Linked DNA regions of Ovis aries. The protein of the gene in region 2 interacts with the protein of the main gene of each other region in a pairwise test. Links are inferred from orthologs where the notes say so. Each region holds a gene or a part of one and is shown on either strand. Other genes may lie near its edges.

The links.
Region 1: the proteins of MEOX2 (region 2) and PAK1IP1 interact in a two-hybrid assay, tested with the Homo sapiens proteins (2 studies listed by BioGRID). The two-hybrid records come from large-scale screens. The link is inferred for Ovis aries from reciprocal best matches to the Homo sapiens genes MEOX2 and PAK1IP1.
Region 3: the proteins of MEOX2 (region 2) and CHRD interact in binary tests that used the Homo sapiens proteins (3 or more experiments, as listed by UniProt). The two-hybrid records come from large-scale screens. The link is inferred for Ovis aries from reciprocal best matches to the Homo sapiens genes MEOX2 and CHRD.

The regions. Positions count from the first base shown.
Region 1 is NC_056073.1:44,622,796-44,626,442, forward strand, and holds part of PAK1IP1 (p21-activated protein kinase-interacting protein 1), read right to left. Parts: intron 3,639-3,647; coding exon 3,586-3,638; intron 2,885-3,585; coding exon 2,739-2,884; intron 2,629-2,738; coding exon 2,531-2,628; intron 349-2,530; coding exon 249-348; intron 1-248. UniProt on the Homo sapiens protein: Negatively regulates the PAK1 kinase. PAK1 is a member of the PAK kinase family, which has been shown to play a positive role in the regulation of signaling pathways involving MAPK8 and RELA.
Region 2 is NC_056057.1:25,002,674-25,006,320, forward strand, and holds part of MEOX2 (homeobox protein MOX-2), read right to left. Parts: intron 3,290-3,647; coding exon 3,117-3,289; intron 1-3,116. UniProt on the Homo sapiens protein: Mesodermal transcription factor that plays a key role in somitogenesis and somitogenesis and limb muscle differentiation. Required during limb development for normal appendicular muscle formation and for the normal regulation of myogenic genes.
Region 3 is NC_056054.1:203,596,931-203,600,677, forward strand, and holds the start of CHRD (chordin), read right to left. Parts: upstream 2,772-3,747; 5' UTR 2,763-2,771; coding exon 2,615-2,762; intron 2,407-2,614; coding exon 2,303-2,406; intron 1,816-2,302; coding exon 1,686-1,815; intron 1,563-1,685; coding exon 1,434-1,562; intron 1,342-1,433; coding exon 1,242-1,341; intron 1,120-1,241; coding exon 1,032-1,119; intron 675-1,031; coding exon 533-674; intron 417-532; coding exon 276-416; intron 194-275; coding exon 111-193; intron 35-110; coding exon 1-34. UniProt on the Homo sapiens protein: Dorsalizing factor. Key developmental protein that dorsalizes early vertebrate embryonic tissues by binding to ventralizing TGF-beta family bone morphogenetic proteins (BMPs) and sequestering them in latent complexes.

The DNA.
Region 1 (3,647 bases), on a different chromosome or scaffold from region 2:
TTTCTCTGACTGAATGAGCAGGCGTTCTGGGATCCAGCCAGTTCAGACTCACCAATACCAACCCCCGGGGCAGCACTATGCAACCCTAATTTTAAAACCATGAATATCAATCATGCCTTGAAGAAATGTTAAACATGTAAAAGATCTGTGCCCAATGAACCTTTAAGAAAATCCACCTCACTTAACTCAAAGTCATACTGACAGTAAGACCTGCATTTGGTTTATTTATATTGTGTTGAGACACTGACCTTGTCCTGCTTAAGCTTCCACATTTTGATGAAACCATCGCTCGATGCTGTAACAAGAACACGATGCTCTGGAGTTTCAAAACTGAACATGTCTTTTACCCTAGGACAAAAGCAGTGACACCATTAAAGAGCCTTTCCTACAGACAGTATGATGCTGCTAGAAAACTTCAGGCACAGTCTCTCGACTTTTCCAGGCTTCAGGTGTTTCCAAACTGCTCAACAAACAGTGCCAAAAGTTTAACATACCTCACAATCCCATGACTTGGTTGAGTCATTTTCAGGGTCTAAATTCCAAGATAGAATTGACTGTCAACCATACCTTAAGAAGGACTTGAAAAGACTATAAATGATCAGATTATCAGGAATAAAAAGAATTATCAGGAATTAAAGGAAATAAAGATATTCAAACCCCCTCCACCTCAGGAAACTATATTGAGAGAAAGAGGTGACTGAGGCTTCCTCCCCTTGTCCTCAGGGCCTACCACCCACCTTCTGAGTTACTATCATTTTCCTTCTGGATTATGGAGTAAACTAACTGGCCTCTGGGCTTCCATTTTTGCCCCCTAACAACTTTTTAAAAAATCAAACTATGTTATTCCCAGGTTTAAAATTCTACAGAGGTAGGTTCGGTTTCAAAATACCACAAGAGGGAGGAAGTGGCTGGGACATAGAAAACCCAACCCCTGCAAAGGCACTCAAACTTCTTCCCACAACACGCCGGGCCCGGCACCGTCGGGCTCCCTCTGACCCAGTGACAGTCTTCTATCTGTTCCTAAAATACACCAAGCTCTTTTATCCCTCTGGGCCACTGTGCCTGCAATTCTCTCCCTTTTAGAAATAACTCCTTTATCCCGAAGGTCTCATTTCCTCTTCCCCGATCATCCCATCCAAATAAGTTACCTGTGTCATTCCCAAACCGTAATATCTATTTCCTTCCTGTTAGGATTACCTGAGTTCTTGTTTGTCCTATTTGTTGCCCCCCAATAAGATAAGAGCCAGGAGAGTGCAAGCTCCTGCTGCAGTTTTTCGTTAGGGCTGCTCAGCAAATACTTGTTAAACGAACAACCAAATATCCACGAAGAGCTATATGGCCTTGAAGAATAGGCTCCCTTCCCCAAAACTAGGCAGGTAGAAACGAGGGCCTGTCTAGTGAGTGCAGTATTGTATTTGTAAAGAGAGATTTCTTAAAGCTAAACTATGATATAGAAAATGAAAACTAAGAGTTGTATGGGACTTCCTTGGTGATCCCGTGGCTAAGGCTCCACGCTCCCAATGCTGCTGCTACTAAGTCACTTCAGTCATGTCCGACTCTGTGAGACCCCACAGACAGCAGCCCACCAGGCTCCGCTGTCCCTGGGATTCTCCAAGCAAGAACACTGGAGTGGGTTGCCATTTCCTTCTCCAATGTATGAAAGTGAAAAGTGAAAGTGAAGTCGCTCAGTCGTGTCCGACTCTTCACAACCCCATGGACTGCAGCCCACCAGGCTCCTCCGTCCATGGGATTTTCCAGGCAAGAGTACTGGAGTGGGTTGTCATTGTCTTCTCTGACGCTCCCAAAGCAGGGGACTCAGATTCGACCTACATCCCACATGCCACAGCGTGCTGCAACTAAGACTCTGTGCAGCCAAATAAATAAGCATTTTTAAAGAATGAATAAGAGTTGTTTGAAACATAAAAGAATATGCAAATAAAACATATTACATCACCATTTTACAAAATTACAGCAGACAAAGCAGAAGCAGTCAGATAGAACTGGGTTGGTTCCCTTCTCTATCATCTAACAGGGTGGTAACCTTGGTCCGGTTATTAACCATTGACCCTGAGACTCACATCTGCCTTTAGAGATACAGTGAGCAGTAACGGAGATGGACGCAAGACAGAGGTCAACATGTCATTTATTTCTCCTGCAGGAAAAGCAGAGTGTAGGAAGAGGCCAGTGGACAGGCAAACAGAGGAAAAAAAGACAAGAGTGGTTGGGGCAGAGCTAATTTTTTTTTCCCACTCAAGTATGAATTGAGGGTTCCAGGCAGCAAGTGTAATGAAATTATTGAGAAAATAAGTCTGTTGTGCCAATGACTAATCCTGGTGACGACTTCACCACTTTTGCATCACTATGGCCAAGACAACATTCCCACCATCCTCTTGAAAAAAATCAGTTTTGTAGATATGTCTATTTTTGTAGTCATTCACAAAAAAGTCTGCCTTATGAAGCTACTGCCCTTATAAGAGACCCTCCACATACAAGCCCACAGAGATTAGTGTGTAAAAAACAAAAAAAGTACCTGTTTTCATGAGCTTTAAACTCAGAGAGGCATGTTAGGGAATCACAGTCAAAAAACCTTACAACCTCTTCATCTCCAGCCACTGCGAGGACAGATTCCTAACAGAGGGGAAAAAAAAAAAACCACACATTAACACCCAGAATGTCATCAACAATTCTGACCATCACAGTATACACTCAACTCCCACCACTGACTTCTGATCACTCACTGAAAGAAACGCAACAGAAGACACTCTCCTTGCATTTGTGATGGTGCCACTGACGGACGCAGTGTCGAGCTGATAGACATCTATTCTGTTCAGTATGACAACTACGTACTTCTCTCCTTTTGGCGACCATTCCACTATGTGAGCGTCTGTAAGTTACAAGAACAAAGCTGTTGTATTTCATAGATAAAAAAAGAAACTGATCGGGGGTCATAAAAAAATAGCAAATATTTACACTGGGCACTTTCACACCCATTATCCCATTAAACCTTCACAGCAAACTTATGATGCATATTTTTATGAGTTAGATTTTCGACAAGGAACTGGTTTGAAGAATCATTAAGGTCATACAGTTCATAGGTGGCAGAGCCATGCCAAAAATCCCAATAGAAAGAGGAGGGAAAAAAGTGACCTAAGGCCTATGCTCTCAGAGAGAGCCACCACCATGTAAGGAAATAACTGTAGGTGTGTGGACACGAGAACTTGTGTGTATACACATTCACAGCCTATCAAATTTTCAAATGTTTTTAAACAAAAACACTCACTTTGGGCTTCCCTGATGGCTCAGTGGTAAAGAATCCACCTGCCAATTCAGGAGACATGGGTTCGATCCCTGATCTGGGAAAATCTCACAAGTCTCGGAGCAACGAAGCCTGTGCACCTCAGTTATCGAGCCCTCATGCCTTAGAGCCTACGCTCCACAACAGAAGGCCCTGCTGTGAGAAGCCCGCATGCCGCAACAGAAGAGCAGCCTCCAATCGCTGCAACTAGAGAAAAAGCCCTTGCGATGACGAAGATCCAGCACAGCCAAAAATGAAAAAAAAAAAAAAAAAGTCAAAGAAACACTCACTTTGTTTTATGTTTTTTATGAATGCTGATCTTCCTTCCACGAGATTCCATGTTCTGCAAAAC
Region 2 (3,647 bases):
AAATACACTTTCAAAAGTATTTTGAGCAGTGGGGTAGATATTTACCAATGATGTATGTGCCCTTGTGCCTACCATGTCTCAGTGCCCTTAAATTTAAGTGGTACCATTGAATATTTCCAGACATTAGGGTGAAAATGAAAGCGACATGGGTCATTTCCAGGTGAAAACATTTAGAGGTCAATGCCTGAACCTCCAGCTCTTTCTTACCTCTTGCAGTTACCAAGGACACCACATGTCAGGATGCTAGAAGGTCAGACTGGGTCCTGAGTGATTATTTGGAAAGCTGGACTTGCAAAGTTAGTAGGGAGAGTGACCAAACAGTAAACTTTATGCTTATGTCATTCAGATTTGAGGGTTAATGTATTACTGTGACATAAACCCTATCCTGAGCAGTAAACGAAACTAACATGGGGTTTCCAAATTTCTAGTATGTGAAATAAGGAGATTTTAAAAATAAACAAGATGAATGGAGAGAGTAACATGGAAGCATATACACTGACTTATGTAAATAAACAGCCAATGGGAACTTGCTGTAGGACTCAGGGAACACACACTGGGGCTCTGTAACAACCTAGAGAGTGGGACAGGGTGGGAGGTGGAAGGGAGGTTAAAAAGGGAGGGGACATATGTACACCTATGGTTAATATATGTTGATGTATGACAGAAAGCAAACCAATATTGTAAAGCAATCATAAATCAATTAAAAATAAATGAATATAAAAAATAAACAAAAGTCCTCTCCATATGCCATCATTATATAAAAGACATAATACTTTAGAAACAAAAAATATAAGATACAATCACAGAACAAAGGATGATTCCATAAACTGAATAAACCCAGAGGGATGGGATGGGGAGGGAGGTGGGAGAGGGGTTCAGGATGGGGAACACATGTACCCCCGTGGCAGATTTATGTCAATGTGTGGCAAAACCAATACAATATTGTAAAGTAAAATAAATAGATATGACTATTTTATTCTTCAGGGAGCCCTTGGTAGCTCAGACAGTAAAAAGTCTGCCTGCAGTACGGGAGACCTGGGTTTGATCCCTGTGTTGGGAAGATCCTCTGGAGAAGGAAATGGCAACCCACTCCAATATTCTTGCCTGGAGAATCCCAAGGACATGGGATCGCAAAGAGTCAGACACGACTGAGTGACTTCACTTCACTTTATTTTATTCTTCCTTAATTATATCATTATGCTGGGCAAAAGCTTCATCATGAAAGAGAAAATTGATCTTCCCAATGATATTTGAGAATCACAGATCCAGATATCTAGAATTACAGATCATGATAACCACGCCACGGTGTGATCACTCACCTAGAGCCAGACATCCTAGAATGGAAGTGAAGTGGGCCTTAGGAAGCATCACTATGAACAAAGCTAGTCAAGGTGATGGAATTTCAGCTGAGCTATTTCAACTCCTAAAAGATGATGCTCTTAAGGTGCCAGCAAGTTTCGTAACTCAGCAGTGACCACAGGACTGGGAAAGATCAGTGTTCATTCCAATCCCAAAGAGAGGCAATGCCAAAGAATGCTCAAACTACTGCACAATTGCATTCATCTCACATGCTAGGAAACTAATGCTCAAAATTCTCCAAGCTAGGCCTCAACAATATGTGAACCAGGAACTTCCAGATGTTCAAGATGGATTTAGAAAAGGCAGAGGAACCAGAGATCAAATTGCCAACACCCATTAGATCAAATTCTAGAAAAACATTCACTTCTGCTTTATTGACTAAACCAAAGCCTTTGTCTGTGTGGATCACAGCAAACTGGAAAATTCTTCAAGAGATGGGACTACCAGACCCTGTCTCCTGAGAAATCTATATGCAGGTCAAGAAGCAACAGTAAGAATCGGGCATAGAACAACAGACTGGTTCCAAATTGGGAAAGGAGTACGTCAAGACTATATATCATCGCCTTGTTTATTTAACTTCTATGCATCGTAAGAAATTCTGGGCTGTATGAAGCACAAGCTGGAATCAAGATGGCCAGGAGAAATATCAAAACCCCAGATATGCAGATGATACCACGCTTATGGCAGAAAGTGAAAAGGAACTAAAGAACCTCTTGATGAAAGTGAAAGGGGAGAGTGAAAAAGCTGACTTAAAACTCAACATTAAAAAATCAAAGATCATGGTATCCAGTCCCATCCCTTCACGGCAAATGGATGGGGAAACAATGGAAACAGTGAGAGAATTTATCTTCTTGGGCTCCAAAATCACTGCAGATGGTGACTGCAGCCATAGTAAAAGATGCTGGATCCTCGGAAGAAAAGCTATGACCAACCTAGACAGCATATTAAAAAGCAGAGACATTACTTTGCCAACAAAGGTCCGCATAGTCAAAGCTATGGTTTTTCCAGTACTCCTGTATGGATGTTAAGAGTTGGATCGTAAAGAAAGCTGAGCAACGAAGAACTGATGCTTTTGAGCTGTGGTGTTGCAGAAGACCAGAGAAGGCAAAGGTACCCCACTCCAGTACTCTTGCTTGGAAGAGTCAGACACGACTGAACGACTTCACTTTCACTTTTCACTTTCATGCATTGGAGAAGGACATAGCAACCTACTCCAGTGTTCTTGCCTGGAGAATCCCAGGGATGGGGGAGCCTGGTGGGCTGCCGTCTAAGGGGTCGCATAGGGTCAGACATGACTGAAGCGACTTAGCAGCAGCAGCAGCAGCAGTTGGAGAAGACTCTTGAGAGTCTTGGACTGCAAGGAGATCCAACCAGTCAATCCTAAAGGAGATCAGTCCTGAATATTCATTAGAAGGACTGAAGCTGAAGCTGAAATTCCAATACTTTGGCCACCTGATGGAAGAACTGACTCATTTGAAAAGACCCTGAAGTTGGGAAAGACTGAAGGCAGGAGGAGAAGGGGACAGCAGAGGATGGGATGGTTGGATGGCATCACCGACTGGGTGGACATGAGTTTGAGTAAACTCCAGGAGTTGGTGATGGACAGGGAGGCCTTGAGTGCTGCAGTCCATGGGGTCACAAAGAGTCTTAGACTACTGACAGACTGAATTGAACTGATCTAGATATTTTTTAAATGGTGAGAGAAGACTGTTGACCCAAAGCAACTAAAAATATATAATGACAATGTCCAACATTACCTGTCTTTCAGTGAGATCCAGATTCACTGCTATCTCATATCGCCTCAGTCTGGTCAGATAATTATGATGGGCAAATTCTGCTTCAAGTTCTCTGATTTGCTCTTTGGTAAAAGCTGTTCTTTCCTTTCTGGGTTTGCTGTTGACTTCTGACTTGTAATTTCCTTCCTGGGAGTCTGGTGAAAAAAAGTAAAAGAATTAGATTTAGTTCATTCACTCAAACACATTCAATCATTTAATTTAGAACAGAAACATTTACTGAATAACTACTTTTCCAGGTACTCTATTAAACACAGTAAAAATAGAGAGAAACCAAAGACAGTAAGATTTATCTTGACAGGGTGAGATAAATTGCATTTTTTTCCTATGCGCCCTGAGGTGACTCACAGCCTAACTGGGGCTGTGTCTAGTTTTCTTCTTTTGAAATATCAATATACACACAAAAAATTAACTGTTCTTAATATGCTTCCCTGGTGGCACAAATGGTAAAGAATCTGCCTTCAATGCAGAAAACACTGGTTCAGTCCCTAGGTT
Region 3 (3,747 bases), on a different chromosome or scaffold from region 2:
TCAGGTTGGGCAGCACTTCAGCAAAGCCCGGTTCCTGGGGGCAGAGGAGGGTGCGGTGGGCACAGCAAGAGGCTAGAGCAGGCGGCAGTTAGAGCCAGACCCTCACTCACCTGGGCTGAGGCATTGGCTTGGAGCTCTCGAAGTAGCTTCCCCTGGTGTAGAATCCGGAGCCACAGGGGAACCTGGGCTGGTCCTGCAATAGCCACACACATGGAACCTCTGAAAGATGGGTGCTCTCCCTACCCTCTTCACGTGTCTGCCCCCATCCCGCTTACCCCCACTCCTGGACTCCAGGAGCCCACGGAAGAGCAGCAGAAAGTGCAAGGAGTCCTCTGTGTCACTGAGAGTGAGTAGGGCGATGCCCCCTATGCCTGGCTGTGGGGGCCCTTCCAGGGTCAGGATGGCACTGAAAGTCTCTGGGGAAAAAAGGACCACGAGAGCCCATCAGAAAGTGCCCCCCTCAGCCCACTCCATTTCTGGGGGGCCAAGAAGACTCTGAACTTCACGTCCAGGAGAGATTGGCTCCCCTCACCTGCAGCCAGGGCCCGGTGCCGAATGAGAGGTCCCCAGACCTCCCCTGAAGGGTGAGTGGGTGTCACAAGTGCCACATACAGCTGTTCTGCCCTAAGGAGTCGCAGGGACAACCGAGGCACTGCCCGCCACACCCCGCAGACCTGGAGCAGAGAGACAAGAAGGCCCTCTCAGTATACAGGACATGCCTGCTGAGAGGCCCATGTCTGGTGAGAAAGGAATACGGGAAGCTGTCCCCAGGCTCTCCTAGGATGTGTAAGAAAGGGCCCTGGAACCAGATGCCAGGGTTCAAATCCCAGATCCTCCACCAACTAGTTGTATGACCTTGAACAAATCACATTCTGCTACTGAGCCTCAGTTCCCTCATCTGTAAAATGGGCATCATAATGTCAGTGCCTCTCTCCCACTGGGCTGTTGTGAGGACCCGAGGAGGCAATGTAGAGCATGCTCTCAGCATAGTGCCCAGATGGGATAAGCACTCATAAATGGCATCATCTCACCAGGCCATCTTGGGTGGGCGCTGCAGGGTGTTCAAACAGGATGCTGCCAGTGGAGTCAGAGAAGCGGATTCGGGTAGGGCGGTCCAGCCTGGTAATGAGCATCCCTTGAGCACCGGCTCTGAGCCTGGGCCAGAAGCGCTGCTGCAGCCTCTCCAAATTCTCCCTCCCTGGCCCCGGGCTGACCCCTCCTCCCTCCTTCCTCTTTCTCACCGCCGGTAGGAGATGGAGAACCGCAGACTGGAGCGCTGCAGCGACACTCGAGCCCGCGCCACCGCTTGCGACCTTGGCCCTGTCAGCAGCGCCACGAAGTCTGCGAGGGGAGGAAGATGTCCCTAGTTCCGTCACCCGCTGCTGCGGCCCGGCGCCTGTCACAACCCCAGTTCCTACCCGGCCTCTGCCTACCCGTGTGGCCGTCTCCACGCCCCCGATCCTCAGCTCCTGGCTCCCCACGGTCGCTGTAGCTTCGGTGCTCTGGGTCGCGTGGATACTCGAAGGCCAGGCCCGTCGGCTGCTTTTCCGAACTGCTGTGCTCTGCACCGAGGGTGGGGGACACGGGTTTCGGGTGGGCAAGGAGAGGGCCAGTTGACCGTTCCATTCCGCCCAGCCACGCATCTCGGCCCTGCCGCCCTCCCCTCTCCGCGGAGCCGGCCTTACCCTGGGGGCAAGTCTGGCAGCAGTGTCCAGGCAGCTGGCGCGGCTGCCCACACGCCAGGGTTGGGCACTCGGGCTTGATGTTCTTGCAGCTGACCCTGCCTGCGCCCCTTGCGCGGCGACCCCACTGAGGCTGCTCACAGAGAAGACGGAAAGCCGAGTGAGGGCAAGACATCAATTGTTGAGAATCAAAGGCAAGCCGAGAAGGCATCGGACAAGGTCAAGGTCGGCCCACGGAGTCAAGAGTGCTTTGCTACCTACAAGCTGCGTGACTCTAGACAAGTTACTTAACCTCTCTGGGCTGCGCGGTCCCCGTCTGAAAAACGGGAGCAATGATACTCTCTGTCTAACGCGGTTGTACTAGGAGTTAAGTGAGAGATGAAATGGAGTTGGCTAAGAGCCTGACACAGTGGACGATCAATAATAGGCAACACCTGAGACTTGAAGGGGGCGCTTCCTCTCCTCTATCCTTCCTCGTGCCTCCTCCGCCAAAAAAATTATCCCAAATATCTGCAGACTGGCTTCTTTCTCTTCAGCAGCTCCGGGTCCATCCGACGTCCCAAGACCTCAGCGCTCCCCGACCCACAGGGCCCCCGGCCACAGCCATTGGGTCCACTCACCGCCTCGCAGGCGCACAGCACGCAGCGCATCACCCCGAAGGGCTCCCCCAGGTCCGGGTGCCACGTCTCGTCCAAGGCATAGACCTTCCCGCCGAAGGAGCAGCCTGCGGGGACGGGCTTGGCTGGCGGCCGCTGTCCCGCTCCTGCCGTGTGCCCGCCCCGGGGCGCTGCGGGCCGGGCCCCGGGTCCCTGGGCACCCCTCCGGGCCGCCCGCCGCGCCGAGCCACCTGCGCCCTGCGCCCCCTCCGGGCGGGCGCAGACTTGCCCCGAGCCGCACTCCCCGCCCGCGCCTCCCCCGGGGCGCCCTCCTACCTGCTGCTCCCCGAACGGGCAGCGGCTCCTTCTCGGGCCGGATAGGCAGCGCGGGGTGCTCGGGGCCGGCGCCGCGGGCCGGCCGGGAGCCGAGCAGCAGCAGCCCGAGGAGCAGCAGCGGGGCCGGCGGGGCCGGGAGGCTCGGCATGACGCGAACGGGACAGCTGGGGAGGCGGGAGGGAGGAGGGAGCGACAGAGGGAGGAGGGAGACGCGAGGAGGGCCGGGCCGGGGGCGGTGCGGCGGGAGGGGGCCGGGGCCAGGGCCCGAGCGGTGCGGCGAGGGGCTCGTCGGGCGGCCGCGGAGTCGGCGCCGGGCCGGGCGGGGCGGGAGGAGCGGCCGGGAGGAGCGCGGGCGGGCGGGCGCTGACCCGGGCCGTACGCGGCTCTAGTGCCCCAGGCGCCGGCTCTGGCCCGTTTTATGCCCCGCGCCCGGCGCCCCGGCCGGGGGCCTCCTCCTCAGCAAACGGGGCGGCGGCGGCGGCTCGGCGAGGGGCCGGGCTGAGCCCGGGGGGTCCGGCCCAGCAGCAGCGGCCCGGATCGCGAGTGGGGGAGGGGAGGGAGGGGCTGGAACCGGGCAGGGGAGGAGGGAGGGGCTGTAGGGGAAGGGGGAGCGGAGGGGATAGGGGGAGGGGAGGGACCAGGGGGCGCAAAGCGGGGAGGAGAGGCGGATCTGGAGCCCCCACCACCACCCACCCGCTGCCGGCGTCCACGGGGCAACTGGACCAGGAGGTGCATGTCCGGCCCGGGACGGGAGCCCCAGGCCACGGAGAGGCAGAGACGGCCTGAGGCCTGGGCCGGCCACTGCGCTAGGACTGAGTTCCTGCCGGAAGGATGAAGAATTGTCTTTAAGGATGACAACGGGCAGGACGGGCCCATCAACTCATCTTCGCCTGTCTCTGGGCCCACAGCACCACTCAATCCCCACACCACTCTCATTGCCCAGCCTGTGTCCCTACATCCCCTCTGAGATCTCTCCTCTTTCCTCTGTCCCTGGGATAGGAACTTAGCCAGAAACAGACGGTATCCCCTTTCTGTCTGCTGACAGCATTTCTCTCCCTACTATTACCTGTGCTCAGGCCCATCCAACCATCCTCCTCCCCAGCCTGACACACTTCCCCACCCTCTTCCTTCAC